Cricetulus griseus: one gene and its partner. The protein of the gene in region 1 interacts with the protein of each later gene in a pairwise test. Links are inferred from orthologs where the notes say so. Each region holds a gene or a part of one and is shown in the gene's direction. Other genes may lie near its edges.

Region 1 (8,475 bases):
GGAGGAGTGTTCCTCTTTCTCCACATCCTCTCCAGCATAGACTGTCATTGGTATTTTTGATTTTAGCCATTCTGGCCTGTGTAAGATGGTATCTCAGAGTTGTTTGGAGTAAGGATGTTGAGCACTTTCTTAAGTGTCTTTCAGCCATTTTAGATTTCTATATTGAGAGTTCTCTATTTAGTTCTGTACCCCACTTTTTAATTGGATTGTTTGGTGTTTTGGTGACTAGCTTCTTGAGTTCATTGTATATTTTGGAAATCAGCCTTTGTCAAATGTGGGGTTGATGAAGATCTTTTCCCATTTTGTCTTGTTGGTTGTGTCCTTTGCCTTACAGAAGCTTCTCAGTTTCAGGAGGTCCCATTTATTATTTGTCAATCTCAGTGTCTATGCTACTGGTGTAATGTTCAGGAAGCAGTCCCCTATACCAATTTGTTAAAGGGTACCTCCCACTTTCTCTTCTAAGAGGTTCAGTGTGGCTGAATATTTGTTGAGGTCTTTGATCCACTTGGACTTAAGTTTTGTGCATGGTGATTGATATGGCTCTATCTGCAATCTTCTATATGTCAGCACCCAGTTATTCCAGCACCATTTGTTGAAGATGTTTTCTTTTTTCCATTGTATAACTTTAGCTTCTTTGACAAAAATCAGGTGTTCATAGATGTGTGGGTTAATATCAGGGTTTTCAATTAGATTCCATTGGTCTACCTGTCTCTTTTTGTACCAATACCAATATCAGAACTATAGCTCTATAATAGATCTTGAAGTCAGGGATGGTGATGCCTCCGGAAGTTCCTTTATTGTACAGGGTTGTTTTAGCTATCCTGGGTTTTTATTTTTTCATATAAAATTGAGTATTGTTCTTTCAAGATCTGTGAAGAATTGTGTTGGGATTTTGATGGGGATTGCATTGAATCTGTAGATTGCTTTCGGCAAGATTGCCATTTTTACTATGTTGATCCTACCTATCCAAGAGCATGGGAGATCTTTCCATTTTCTGGTATCTTCTTTAATTTCTATCTTTAAAGACTCAAAATTCTTGCTATACAGGTCTTTCACTTGTTTGGTTAGTGTTACCCCAAGGTATTTTATGTTGTTTGTGGCAATTGTAAAGGGTGATGTTTCTCTGATTTCTTTCTCAGCCCATTTAAGGTCTATATATAGTAGGGCTACTAATTTGAGTTAGTCTTGCATCCTGACACTTTGTAGAAGGTGTTGACCAGCTGTAGGAGTTCCCTGGTAGAGAGTTTACTTATGTAAACTATCATAGCATCTGCAAATAGTGAAACTTCCATCTCTTCCTTTCCAATTTGTAACCCCTAGATCTCCTTTTGTTGTCTTATTGCTCTAGCTAGAACTTCAAGGACAATATTGAAGATGTATGGAGAGAGTGGACAGCCTTGTATTGTTCCTGATTTTAGAGGAATTGCGTTGAGTTTCTCTCCATTTGATTTGATGTTGGTTGTTGGCTTGCTGTATACTGCTTTTATTATGTTTAGGTATGTTCTTGTTATTCCTGGAAGGGGTGTTGAATTTTGTCAAAGGCTTTTTCAGCATTTAGTGAGATGATCATGTGGTTTTTCTTTTGCAGTTTGTTTATATGGTAGATTACATTGATGGATTTTCATATGATGAACCATCCTTGCATCCCTGGGATGAAGCCTACTTGATCATGGTGGATGATTTTTCTGATGTGTTCTTAGATTAGATTCGCCAGTATTTTATTGAATATTTTTGCACCAGTGTTCATGAGGGATATTGGTCTGTAGTTCTTTTTACTTAGTTGTGTCTTTATGTGGCTTGGGTACAAAGGCAATTGTAGCCTTGTAAAAAGAGTTTGGCAATATCCCTTCTGCTTCTATTGTGTGTAACAGTTTAAGGAGGACTGGTATTAGCTCTTCTTTGAATTTCTGATAGAATTCTGTACTGAAACCATTTGGCCCTGGGCTTTGTTTTGGTTGGAAGACTTTTGATGATAAATTGCTTCTATTTCATTAGGGGTTATAGGTCTATTTAAATTGCTTATCTGTTCTGGATTTAATTTTGGTAAGTGATATCTATCCAGAAAATTGTCCATTTCCTTTAATTTTTTTATTTTTTTAGAGTACAGGTTTTCAAATTATGACCTGATGATTCTCTGAATTTCCTCAGTGTCCATTTTTTGTTATGTCCCCCTTCTCATTTCTGATTTTGTTAATTAGCATGCTCTGTCTCTGTTTTGGTTAGTTTGGATAAAGGTTTGTCTACGTTATTGATTTTCTCAAAGAACTAACTCTTTGATTCATCGATTCTTTGCATTGTTTTCTTTGTTTCTACTTTATTTATTTCATCCCTCAATTTGATTATTTCCTGGCATCTGCTTCTCTGGGGTGAGTTTGCTGTTTTTTGTTCTAGAGCTTTCAGTTGTGCTGTTAATTCTCTAGTGTGACTATTCTCCAGTTTCTTCATGTGGGGACAACTGGATTTTTGGCAGATGCATACACTGTGAAACCATTATCACAGTGAAGATAATGGACATATTCCATAGAAACTGTTGTTTCAAATGTGTGTGTGTGTGTGTGTGTGTGTGTGTGTGAGAGAGAGAGAGAGAGAGAGAGAGAGAGAGAGAGAGAGAGAGAGAGAGAGAGAGAACTGGAGTCATAGGTGATTGTGAGCTGTCAGATGTGAGTGCTGGAAACCAAACTCAGGTCCTTTGGAAAAGCAGCAAGAACCCTTAACCACGGAGCCATCTCTCTAGCCTCAGGAATTAATCTTCAATATAGCAATAATGTAAAATTTTGGTGACTTTCAGATTCCCCACCACATTTTCTCTAACTTGTTGCTACCTAGTACAACGAAAGATTAGTATGAATTGGGAATTTTTATTATCATCATTTTTGGAGCACCCAAATGGTGCCGACACTGTCCTTTAAACCGACAGACAGATGGGAAGCTAATGGTAGCTGAGAACTCTCCACACCCTCTCTGCACCCTGCCCACCTTTTAAAAGAGTCGGGCCAACAGATAACTGTGATTTACTGTACTCTTCTACTCTGATGTTGAACATAACCTAAGACTTCAAAGGACCCATCATGTTACAGTTTAGGAACCAGTGAAACATGGCTTGTTTGAAAAGATAGGTCTGAAAATGGGAACAACACATGCAGACGAGTCCCCTCCTCTTTCATTAAGTGTCTTCCATTGTATCAGAGAGTACAGTAAAGGGGGAAGAGCAGCGGCGGCGGAAGTTTCTAGGGAAGCCCACTTCTCCAGTAAAGCCGACTGCCAAGACAGCCCGTCGTGTGGATACCTTTCGCTAGGGCCGAATGCTTCCAAAAGGAGATACAGCTGCTTCTGTATGCCTAGAAGGGTCCCTGTTTGCTTTCGATGCTCCTTGGCACAGGTCTGGGAAGCTTTTTATTCATTTATTTTTAGTGGAGTTTCTCCTGATGATCCATTTCTGTACTCTTATTTTGTTATTGTTTTCTTGTTTGAACCTGTTCTGGAAACTGTTAAGGATGAAGGCTTTAATCTCCAGGTTGCAGATGTCTGTCTTCATTTGCCACCAACACCTGTCTCCACCAGGTAACCGTTCAGACTAGTGTCCTTTCTGCATCAGACTCTGGTCACTCTCAGAACGGTGGTTCTGAGATTTCCTAGCCTCCCTTGCTCTCCTAGAGTCCCAAGACTCCAGTCTGGCTTTAACTTCTTGCCTAATCAGTGAAGCTGCAGTCAATACCTGCTGCTCCTCTCCTTGTATTTTTCCCCAGATGAAGGGCAGAGATATGGGTTTGGCAGATCTCTTAATCAGAGCCTGCCATTAGCAGGCCCGGGGCTGACGTGCACTGGGGAGGACTCGGACCAAGCAGGCCATTTTCACCTGCGTAATAACAGGCTTGGGAGTAGCGAAGCGGCGCTGGCACAGCAAGCAGCCTCTGGAGCAGGGGAGGAGCGCAGGCGGCGGCCGCCCAGGGGCCACAGAGGAAGAGGAGGGGGAAAAGGAGGAGCCGAAGCGCCCAGAGCAGCAGCCGCCGCTCGGCCTGAGTTGCAGCAGAGGCAGCGACGGCGGCGCAGAGACTCTGCAGCCTCCTGGATCCCGAAGTCCCTGTGGGGCCAGCAGCAGAGAGCGCCCGCGCACCTAGCCACCGCACCCGGGCCTTGCCAAGCCGCCATCGCCCAACCGGGGGGCACCGCCAGCCATGGCTGCACCGCCGGATCTGCAAGATGAGCCTAGCCCCGGGTCCCAGTGGTTCGCGGGCCAGGGGGAGGGGGAGGACGAAGCAGCACCGCCGAAAGGGGCCAGGCCAGCGCGGCAGGATGGGGAGCCCGCCTGGGGGTCGGGAGCCGGAGCCGGAGCCGGAGCCGGAGCCGGGGTAGTGTCGCCGCGGGAACTGTACTCCGGCCCCGCCCGGTCGCCTCCCGTCGCCATGGAAACTGCATCCACAGGTAAACCCCGCGGGCACCACGACCCCGCAAATAGAGGCCGTGACCCTGGTTTCTTGTAGCTCCTCTAGTCCACTGATCTTCTCTGCATAATCCTGGTTTCTCGGCTGGGGCATTAACCCCAGCAGGGTTTCGTCTCGTGCGACTGTAAATGTTAGCGGACTGGTGGAAAACAGCAGTGTGCTGCTAGCGGGTAGGAGGAAGGAGGCTGTTAGTCCTGTTATTTCATTATTACTCTTGTTATGGCCTTAGACGTTGTTCCTGTTTGCAAGCCTGGCTACTGCTGCTACAAGTTTCTCCCTCTTGTCAAAGGCCTCGGGGCAGCAGGGCGGGCGTGACAGGTTGTGATGGTTTTCTGGGGCGTGTTTGCGCTCAGCGTGCTCAGCCGGCGGCGACCACAGTGGTTGACAACCAAGCAGCAGGCGGGCCCACTGCCTCAGGACCCTCCCGCTGGGTTTGGTGCTACGGAGTACAACAGGGGTTTTAATTTTCCCGTTTCTTCCCTCAAGGAATCACCACACCCTACCTACTCCTTTCCTTTCCAGCTCCCCTTCTCTCGCGCTGAAAACAAACCCCAAAGAGTCCTGCGCTTAATTCCAGAGGGACATTGTGTGAGGGTTGGGAGTTGTAGCCTTCTCTCTTTATTTCCTGGCTGCTCTGCTCTATCAGGGAGCACCAAAACTTGGAACCCACAGATGTGAAGGTCCTGGCTGCGAATTAGAGTGTTGGGGTTGTGGTCAGAGGGCCAGACACAGTTTACCAATCAGTCTGAACTCTGTACCTCCGCGTTTGCAAAAACTGCCAGGGCTTTGACCTCTCTCCCCCTGACTCGCCCTTCACAACCAAAACAAATCCTTGCCTGGTGGGACCAACCCGAAGGCCAGGGACGTGTGGCTTGTCCTTGGAGGCTAGAGAAGCGTGCTGAGGGAGGGGTAGCTGCCTGGTTAGCGCTGTTTCCAGGAGAAATACTGTAGGGGGGTGGTGTGTTGTGCTGTTGTCTGCAAGGCTCTGCTGAGCTGGAGTGGGAGTTGTGTAGTTTTGGTGATGTAGTGTGAGGCCTGGGTAGTGGGTGTTCCTGGAGGAGGGACGTGGGTAGGACTGGCATATGTGCTCCTGGCAGCTGATTTAGGGAAACCCCTTTCTTAAGCCACCCCCTCTTGAGGGTTATGTGGAGTGCCTCAGGTTGTCTTAACTCTAGAACTAGCAAGATCTGAGCCAGGAACGGAGATTTGGAGACTGTGTTGAATAATGGAAAGAAAAAAGTAGGGCCAAGCAAGAAAAAGAGAAGTGAAAGGAGGTGAGGGAAAGCAGAACGAGAAGGGGAGACGGGGAGGGAGTGGGAATGATGGCGGGGGTGGGGAGGAACAAAGCGTGAAAAACCCCAACAGCTGACAACCTCATTTGTCATATATTAATTACTGTAGGGTGGGATTTAAATCTAAGAACAGTTTCCTGGTCTCTTGCAACTCCTTGTGTCCAAATGAAGAGAAATGAAAACGTATAACTAACTGCCAGAACAAAAGGCAAATAATAGCAACCTTTGTGCCAGTAGACTTCTTTAGGGTGGCTTACAGTTCAGAAACTGTATCTGCTATACCCCAGGTAAATTCTTTGTTTCTAAGCTTTCCCTACCTCCCATCAGTGTCACTAAGGGCAAGTAAGAAAGAAAAGCAAATCTTGTTAGGTTACATGCAACAAAGTGCTCCGAATGGACGTAGGTATATAGATACACGTGTATATAATACAGTATAATGTTTTGATATAGTGTAGATCATGGAATGTTTAAAACAAGCTGATTAACACAACTGTGATCAGTTTTAATGGTGAAAACATTTAAAATCTACTCTGTGAATAACACATATGCAATATACTGTTACAGAGCAGTGACTGGATGGAGCAGTCACCGTTGTCTACACTTTAATCTTTATTATGAAGGTATTTTGTTTTGTCAGGTGAATTAGAGGTTTCCTTTTCTGAGCATCAAATTAACTAATAAAATCAAGCAAGGGTCTAAGTTTGGTAGGAGGAAGTTGAAAGGATCTAGATGGACATGTTTATACAGAAATGCTATATATTGAAAACTCCAAATAAAATCAGGGCTTGCCTCCGTATGTGTGATTTCTGCAGGTTTTTTTTCAGTGTAAGCAAAATCAGCATATCAGTGACAAGACCATGGCACACGTTGCTTGACTTTGCAGTTTTATAGCTTGCTTTATAAATAGCACCCCCCTTTCCTGAGGTTCCGAAGGCAGGAAGCCCAAGCTCGAGGTGTCCAGGAGTCTGTGTCTACTGTGGCTCTGCCTTCTGGCCCCCAGCTGTTTTGTTACTGTGTCCTCCAAAGGGAAGAAGGCAACTTTATTCTTTATTTTCTTTTTTTCTTTTGAAAGAATGCTTTAGGCTTCAGTGTTGATGGAGATGGAACTTAGACTTTAAGTGCGAAGCACTGTAAACAGACAGCTCCAATTTCACACGTACTATTCCCATGCAAGACAGATACGGGTGTTTTAAAAACTGTTTTTATGTAAAAGAACCACCAATCATGCCATCTGGCCAGAAATTCTGTTATTTATTTTTATACTTTGATGGTAATTAAAGCCCCCCAAGAAATAGTTAAAAAAATACTTCTCCGTAAAACTTCCAGAATAAGTATACATAGCTGAACATCATTAAAGCAAGCTATAAAGGCCCATTACACTGAATGAATTTTCAGATATTCTCAGTGCTTCTGTCACTGTTGTAGCATGGAAAAATTCCCAACAATAACAAGAAATAACACATTCTTCTTGAGCTATAATCTTTCACATCTAAAATTGCTAGTGGGACTGTGCAATGATGTCTTTGGCCAAGGAACATTCAAAGTGCCATGTGGAAGCTACAGTGTCAGGCTCACTAACTGTGGAACATTGCCAGCCTCTTAGAGTTTTATACAAAGGATGCTAAGAGCAACTGTTCTGTATTTTTTCATATGATCAGTTATTTTATTCCTGGGAACTAGTCAAAAGGAGCACACAAAAACAAAATGAGGGATGAATGGCCTTTTGTTTAAACAAGGAGAATTTGAACAAATTGGAATGGTAAGACGTTAACGTATCGACTGCTTTGGGAATTAATTCATTGACCACATGAAAAGCAATGGATGGGGAGAACAGGGATAGAGAACACCCAGAAGAAGCCAGTTCAATGTGGCTGTCTCAGCTGTCCCATCCTATGGATAAATTCGACATAATTTTGTGGATAATTTCAAAAAAAGAGAAGCAAGAGTTCTTTTTTTCAATGCATATTACGGAGGCCATGAAGTCTGTAGGTATATTTTTAAAAAACCATTTTCCATCTATAATGATTTAAGTTATGTTGAGCATATTTTATACATCCCATCTAGAAAACTACAATGTTTTACAGTCATTCATTCTGGAAACCGGGTAGACTGTATTCACCATCATGTGTGTTTTATAGACATGTGGATTATTTTAAAGTTTGAAATACTGTCTGGCAATCCCCTTTAGAAGTTATAAATTCTCATCTTCTCTCTTTCATGTTTTAAGAAAGCCACAGTGATGTTGAAGCTAGAAGCAACACTCCATCTTGCTTTTACAGTCTCTAGAAGGAGTAAAATAGTCTGTAAACCTAATGCAATTTCTCTCTCCAGATGCAGCCTTTGGACACAGTCTAACTTTTCTGGCAGTCAAGTACGGTACACATCCCAGAATGCAGAGATGCTAGGATTAACATTTTGAAGTACTTCTGCTCTTTCAAAATACATTGAAATGGGTATCATCAGGACTTGAAGCCTAATTTGACATTTTTGAAGTCAATATTCTGTAAAGTCACTCTGCTCACCCCTCCACGAAGGCCTGTTTCTGTTCTTTTTCTAGGTTGCTATGAACCTCTAACACTGAGGTTTGGGGGCGGGGCGAGTTCTGGACTATTGCCCATTTGCTGTCAATCCTAGGAAGCGCGGATTACAGAAAGTTTTATCTGTACAGTGAGAAGCTGCTGTAACCAGAGAGTTATGAATGTCTCTGCTGAACACAGGTCAAGGGCTCCTAGACCGTGTGC
Region 2 (8,018 bases), on another chromosome or scaffold:
TTCCTTCAACCTTCTTTTCTACCTGGCCAGCTTAACTACCATTAGATATTCCATTTGCCTTATTCTCTTGCTTCTGTGCAGCCTGCCTGCTGCTGCTTTATAGTAATTTCTCCAAGCATGCTCATTAACATCCATTGTCTTTTGGTACATATAAAGGCTTTACCTACTTTAATAGCTCTCTGGTTACTTCTTGGCAGTCTGAGAGGTAGGGCAGTCATGTCGGCAAGAGGGGATATGAACTTCCTGCTTGCACAGCAGGCATCTCACCCACTAAGCTGTCTCCCACAACCTGCCATTCATTTCTTCAGTATGCATCTACTGAATGCCTGCTCTGTGACCCCATGGTTACTAAGCACTGAGGGCACAGCAATGAATGACCAGCATGCAGGGTGCATCTGTGTGCTGGTCTTCATTGGAACATCCATTCTGCTTCCTTCTAGTTTTCCCAAAGTGAAGACTTGTTTTCTTCATCATCTTCCCTTCATTCTCAGGTCTCCTTCTCAGAAAGATGTCAGCTTTGAAAACTCTCATCTTAGTGCTGAGATGTTACACAGTTGGTAGAGGGTTTGGCTAGCATGTATGAAGCCCTGGGTTTGAGCCCATAAACTGGGCATGGTGGTACATGCTTACAATCCTAATACTTAAAGGCAAAAAGATCAAGGTTCAAGAGCATCCTTGGCTATATGAGACCCTGTCTTTAAACAAACAAACAAACAAACAACAACAAAAAACTAAAAAGCAGCTTCCCCTGAGGTGCCCAAACCAATGCTTTTGGGTGTGTCTTGGTTTATTCTGCCTGCCTCTCTTTCTCTGGACCCTTGTGCTTAATTAAGTCTTTATTAAGATATTTAGCCCCAACTCTGCTTCAAAAGAAAAAGAAAGAACAGAAAAATCCCGTTAGAGTGTAGTGATTTATCAGTGTGCTAGTGTGTGCTTCCTTTTCGTTTCTCACCAACACATCCTCTAAAAATAACTCTTGTGTTGTTTTTGATTTTTAGCCGGTTACACCTCAACAAGAAGGCAACAGACAAGCAGCCGTATAGCAAGCTCCCTGGTGTCTCTCTTCTGAAACCATTGAAGGGGGTGGATCCTAACCTAATCAACAACTTGGAGACATTCTTTGAACTGGATTATCCCAAAGTAAGTGTAGTGCTGTGCACATGAGGAATGGACTAGGCTGTGGGGTTTTTTTTGTTTTGTTTTGTTTTTCCTCATCAGAAACATTGGGAATTTTAACACTGTATATAAGGTGGAAGTACTGATGCTTTGTATACATAAAATTAAAGTAAGCTTTGCTTACAATAAGAAAGCTGGAAGGTTTTCAAGCCCATAGTGTATAAGTGAATACAAAGGAAAGTTTATTTTTGTGAATGAAGTATTTTGTTAATTATGAACAAATCTCAGCATCTGGCTTAGTGTCCACATGTTTCTGATGTGGAGTATAACCTCACATTTTGGTTTTGCTGCCATCATCCCATCAAAGCTCAAAGAACTAGTCCCATATGGCTTTTCTCATGTCCTGTAGTATACCGGTGTATTTAAATTGCTGGAAGAGAAAAGCTATGTTAGTCTTCAGTGTGGAATGAGTTACAGCATATGCCAGAGGCAGTTTCTAGTCTAGTCTAGTTTAGTTTCAGAAGTAGAAAGCCAGAGGAATCTGTAATCTAAGGGAGACTTTCATTCTGACAGTATTTTACTTTAAAAACATTAACACCGTGGTAAGCGTAGCACAAAACCATCTAGTTCTTGAGTACAGGTAACCTATTCAATATTATCTTTCAAAACTTTGAATTTAGAGGTATTTTCTTTAAAAACCTCCCTTTTTGTGCTTTTTTTTTTTTTTTTTTTTTCACTCAGAAGTTACCCAAATGAACTCCCAAGTGAACTTGTCACCTGTTCTAGGCCAGCAGCTGTTCTAGGGACTAAGAGTCTAAGTTCAGTTACAGGATTTAAATTCTATTACGATCCAAATATAAAATTCTATAAAACCTAGAGTATGAAGTTCTTTATGAGTAGTAGCTCAAGATATGTATGTGTGTGTATGCGTACTTGAGAGGGTAGGATGTGTCTCTGTAGAGCACTTGCCTGTGGCATGCATAAAGTTCTGAGCTTAGCATAAACAAGATGTGGATTTGGGCCAAAAGCCATAGTCCCTGGTACATAGGGAATTGGAGGCCAGTGTAGGCTATAAGAAGCCAATGGAGGGAGAAAAAAAGGTTATTTTGCTTGATGTGCAATATAATTCATTCACATATTAAAACATATTTTAGGACAGGGTGTAGCTTGGTGATAAGAGTGTGTGTTTAGCATGTACAGAGCCTTGGTTTCAATCCCCAGAACCACCACTTAAAATTTTGTTTTGAGTGGTATTTTTGTCCATCTCTCCAGCCTCTCTTAAAATATCCTAAAGGTATATTTTAACATGTACTGTGTTTTTAATATGTATATGTGTCCAGTCTTCAACATTGTAAACAATACCCCCAAAGTTATTTTAATGTATTAACTAGAAAACATTTAACCATGTCTAGTGTTTGTCTCAGTTATAATTGGAGGGATTGTACTGTTTTAGTACAGAGATTTCTAGCAAATAAAATGTTCAGTCACACCAGGAGGACACAGAGGTGACACCTCGTTACAGTGTGATGCTTCAGAAAACACTTAGCATGCTTCCTTCAATTGGATAGAATTCTTTAAAAAAAAAAATCTGTCATAGTGTCCACTCCAAGATAATGTGAATTGAGTTTTATTTGTATGATGGCTAATTAAAGCTTTTCTTTTTTAATTTTGGGATTAAATTTAAAAGGTATAATCAAGTTTGGAAACTTCAAGCCTCGTGATTGAATAAAGATGAGTTCCCTTACTTAACACATTATACTTTTCAATTTTTTTGGTATGGGACTAGAGAGCTAACTCAGTAGTTAAGAGAGTGGACTGCTCTTATAGAGACCTAAGTTTAATTCTTGGTACCCACAACTGGTAGCTCACAACTGCTCATAACTAACTCCAGAAAATTGGACTCTTAAGGACCCCATAGGTACCTACAAACACACACACAACACACACACACACACACACACACACACACACACACACACACACACAAACACACACACAGTTTAACCCTTCTTGAGTAGCATGTTTGATCAATCATAACTGAAATAGATATTGGGTAAAATTTGTATAAAGAGGTAGAAATCATGAGGGACCTATTCCTTGTTTTCACCATCTTCTTAATTATTGGGACTTTTTTTGTTTTTTTAATTAAAAAACAGAATCCCCACTTTACTGACTAGTGCTTTCTTGACCTTGGTCCTGGTTCTCTCATCGCTCAACCACAGATACCTTTTCTGCCACTTTTTGGTGAGATAAGTTGGATGCCAAAGGCATCATGAATATTTTGTTTCTGCTTCTTTTGTTTATAAAGAAGTAAGCGGTGGGTTTCCTGTGGCTCTAATGAGCCCCTGTGATATAAGCACTTCAAAGTTACAGGACAGTTGTGGCAGGGCCATTCAAGCTCTCAGAAATGCCTTTCTAACCAAATAGCATCGAGCAAAATGAAGTTCTGGGTGTTTTCATAAGTGAAGTATGCTTTTCAGGGTAGTAAGAATTCAGTCAAAAAAAAAAAAAAGAAGAAGAAAACAAAAAGAACTCTAATCACACTTTGTCCTTTATGGGATGTCATTTGTAATTTGTAGCACCTCATGAAGTGATGCTACATTCTAGGGCAAGGATTCTGCAGAATAGGGAGTGTGCTTGGTTTTACTTCGTCTCAGTGTGGTTTTTACACTCCTGCTCGTCTTGTAAGCATCAAGTGTGTGTTCCGCAGTTCAGGTCATGAACAAGCTTGATATGCAGGTTGCCATTGGGGAGGGGCCTGCCACACACTGCCAGGCTCCTCCTGATGCTGACAGACAGGTCCTTGTCCTGGAGAAGCTGTCTCCACCCAAGCCACCCTTGTCATAAGCATCTGTATCGCTTAGGATTCCTCCCTAAGCTTGCAAACTTTATGTGCACAGTGTTTTTTCTTTTCCTTACAGTTTATTAATGTTAATAATAACAACGAGGTTAATCAATGTTAAATTTCTCCTTGGACTAGTATGAAGTACTCCTTTGTGTACAAGATCATGATGATCCAGCCATTGATGTATGTAAGAAACTGCTTGGAAAATACCCGAATGTTGATGCTAGACTATTTATAGGTAAGTACAAAGTCTGTATTGGCCATTTTGCTTTGGTAGTTTCAGTATCAGTGATCTGCTCTGCATTAAACTCAGGGTTAGGAGCTCACTGAGTAAAGTCAGTATGCTTGCTCTAAGCATGTTTACAGGGGGCAAGGGTGGTGATGTGGGGATGGGGTAAATACAGTTCCAACGTCTTGGTTACCAAATGAAACACACACAAATAATATCTTAGTCAATAATCAGGTATGAGTATTTGTTGTTTTGGTTTTTAGGGTTTTTCCTAAAATCTTTTTTTCCCCTTTTTTCTATTTTGATTTTCCCCTCGGCCCATGGTCTATCTATTCTCAGGCTCTAGGCCACCTGAGCAGTGTTGGGCATGGGTTCCATCTCATGGAGTGGACCTTAATTACTTTCACAATTTTTGTGTCACTGTTATACCAGCATGCCTTGCAGGCACGTGTTTTCCTTTTTCTGGTAGTGTACAAAGTACCTTCCAGTACCATGGGCACTAGCCAGTAGGGGTGAAGGCTTGGGGCAGTCAGTCACCGGCTCAACTTCTCCATGTTCAGTGAGTTATGTAGGTGTTGTCTTCAGCAATAGGGACTCATCATCAGTTTGGGGAGAGTAACCAATAGCCTTGGTTTCTTGGAGGACTTTAAGGGCCCTCTTTGGCCAACAACTTGATCAGTTGTAACCCACTGCGCACACTAGAGGTTTCACTGGGTAGGGAGAAGTGTCTAGTTGGGGCTTTGCTCTCCCATTATTTGGTGAATCCTATTAGGTTTCTTTCATATATGTACATATTTTGAGAAGCTTCTACTATATTAGGTTTCCATACGCCCCCTCAATTGACCCTTAGTTTTAGTTGTCCCTCCCATATTACCCATAATGTATAGTATGATGTTTTAAAATATGTGTATACTGTGGAATGGCTAAATCAAATTAATTAACATGTATACTTAGCATACTAATTTGTGATGAGGTATCTTAGCAGTTTTCAGGTACTCCGCACATGGATGTTTTAATATCATCATATTATGTTGTCAAATTAAGCATCAGCCTATAGTGTTAGTGGAAGAATTTGCAAACTAGAAAACAGACTGTATTGTCAAAGATAAAGTCAGAATTCTCCCTTTTTGAATGAGTCATTTTTACAGATACCAGAAATGGGGAATATTTAAAAATTAAAAATGTTTAAATTATGAAATATGGCAGTATTCTTTCTTTCTCTCTCCATCGTGTGTTTTTATAGCATTTTCAGCATTATATAAAGGTGTTGTTATTGTGTCTTTGCATTTTTAGGTGGCAAAAAGGTTGGCATTAATCCTAAAATTAATAATTTGATGCCAGGATATGAAGTTGCAAAATATGATCTCATATGGATTTGTGATAGTGGAATAAGAGGTGAGATTTTCTCATTCTATACAGCTACTGTTCATTTGATGATAAAACGCCAAAAACATTGTGAAAATATATTATTTACCAATCTTTGGTTTGCTTGAAAATTTACTTCATCATTATTTATGGTTTTATGTCAATTTTGCTCACTAAGATTTTAATTTTTTTAAGCTAACCTAGATGTTAAATTATTAAAATGCTTGCATTTTGAAGAGAAAATTCAACCATTAAAAAAGTAGTCATGATTCATTATCCATTGGATAGCCTTGAGCTGGTTAATATTGCTTATTTGTTGGGCACTTTTGCTTGTATCTTTTATTTTACCCAAAAAGTCAGATCAATGATCTCATGTTCCCTAAAATATATACATTTATTAAAAGACAGTCATGTCTTTTTTTTTTTTTTATCTAGATTTTAGCAAGAAGGTTTTTTGTTTGCTTGTTTTGGTCCAGCTATCTTAATGGTTATTTTTGAGGCCTTTTGAGACAGTCTCATTATGCAGCCTTGGAATTCACCATGTAGACCAGGCTGACCTTGAACTGTGACTATTTTGTCTTTCCCTTCTAACTACTGGAGTTATAAGTATAAAACCACCTTGCCTGTTGCAAGAAGCCTTTTATATACCAAACTTAGTATTTATAGGTGTAAACATTTGTGTTAAGCTCTATGGTATTTTTGTCAGATTGAGTTCCTTATCCTCAATCCTAGTGACAGAGTGGCCTGGAGAGTTTGTCATGGAGGAAATGTTGTCATCATGCCTGTCCTCTTACCTGCTGGCTGCCAGTAGCACCCTTCCCCATTCTCAATTTTCCAAATGTCACTTACCAAGAATTGTTCCTGGTTGAGAACCACTACCTAAAATAGGGGAGATTTTTGTATCCTGAAGTGCTGGCTGTTGAACACAAGGCCTCATGCATGACCAGCAAGTGCTTTGTACAACAGCCCCGACCTAACTCTAACTTGGGATCTTTCACTTGCTGCAGTCTCCTGAGTAGCCAGGACTACAGGACTGCATCATGAGTCTCTATTGCCATATGGGTATTTAAAGCACAGACACAACTCTTTTTATTTTATACCATTTAGTTCTTAACAAATAAAAGGAAATAAAAACAGTCATGTAGGATTTGAAGTGTTCACCATTTCAAGGTTGGACATTGGTTCAAATTTTTCATTACCTTAAGATATAAATTTGATAATTAATATTCAGTATTCTTACAAATTAATGAGCAGTGTTACACGTTGAGGATCCATGACCCAAATTCATGTCTAATCTTCGTGTTTGTTAATTTAGGTTATGTTAATTTAATTTATGCTTGTCATGCCTTTGCAACCCTGTTGTGGAATCAGGTACATATTACTCCCACTGAGAAAGCAGACTCACTCCTGCGGTTAAAGAATATATGAAGACCTGTGGTCCTTTGACCTGCCCCTGACTATAGGACATTGTCTTCATTTGGTTGGAGGTTCTGACATAGAGGCTGCTGGTATCTCATTAGGGAGGAAGTTCTCAGGCCTCCAGGGTCAATGCCAGCTGAACTACTTTCTGCCTCTGAACCATCCTCACTTTGAGTTGTAGAAGGTGATTCTAGACTGTTGACTTACAAAAAAATTAATTTATAATTATTAAGCTTAGTAATATTCTTTCAAAGAAAACAAAAACTGCCTGGCGCATATTAGGTCTCTCAGGCTAAAAATGTGGAGCTTTTTGAAATTTTGTGTTCTCAGAATAAATGATTGCTATTTATTGAATCCAAATGTCCAAAAGAATATATTAGTTTAATAGCAATTCACAAATATTACATTAATGGACATTTTACTAAAAAGTTGTGTTTTGTTTTGTTTCCTTTTCCTATCCCCACCTTTCCCCGCCTAAATTTTAGTCATTCCAGATACATTAACTGACATGGTCAATCAAATGACGGAGAAGGTGGGCTTGGTTCATGGGCTGCCTTATGTAGCGGACAGACAGGGCTTTGCTGCCACATTGGAACAGGTAAGTGCAGTGTATAAAATTGTGACACCAGCTCATTGGTCTCCATTAGAAGGGGCTACCCGACCTTAGCTGTATTGCCCATGTGGGAGCCTTCAGAGAGCATTCTGGTTCTTCATGGGAGAAGTTCTTGGGTCCCTGGAGTCATCTACTGCCCAGCTGCCCTCACCCTGACAAGAATGGCTGTTCATAGGAAACTGCTGGTGGCCTTGCCCCCACCTGAACACTCGTTTTTTTCTCCATAACGTGTTTACTGACTTCTAGACATTCACTCCAGACTATTGACTTACATACGTTCTTTTAAACTGAAAAGTATTTTGTGATATATTATAAAGTATTTCAAATACAACAAGAAAGCAATGTTCTTGCAAGTCTTTATTAAAAAAAAATCTTTGATTTCCTTTTAAATAAATTATCTTGAAAAACATGTCTTCCTCTTCTTCCTCCTC

Evidence for each region.
Region 2: the proteins of reticulon-1 (region 1) and Ugcg interact in a two-hybrid assay, tested with the Homo sapiens proteins (2 studies listed by BioGRID and IntAct). The link is inferred for Cricetulus griseus from reciprocal best matches to the Homo sapiens genes RTN1 and UGCG.

The regions. Positions count from the first base shown.
Region 1 is NC_048598.1:131,031,587-131,040,061, forward strand, and holds the start of reticulon-1, read left to right. Parts: upstream 1-4,175; coding exon 4,176-4,422; intron 4,423-8,475. UniProt on the Homo sapiens protein: Inhibits amyloid precursor protein processing, probably by blocking BACE1 activity.
Region 2 is NC_048595.1:84,613,257-84,621,274, reverse strand, and holds part of Ugcg (ceramide glucosyltransferase), read left to right. Parts: intron 1-998; coding exon 999-1,140; intron 1,141-4,096; coding exon 4,097-4,199; intron 4,200-5,483; coding exon 5,484-5,585; intron 5,586-7,459; coding exon 7,460-7,572; intron 7,573-8,018. UniProt on the Homo sapiens protein: Participates in the initial step of the glucosylceramide-based glycosphingolipid/GSL synthetic pathway at the cytosolic surface of the Golgi.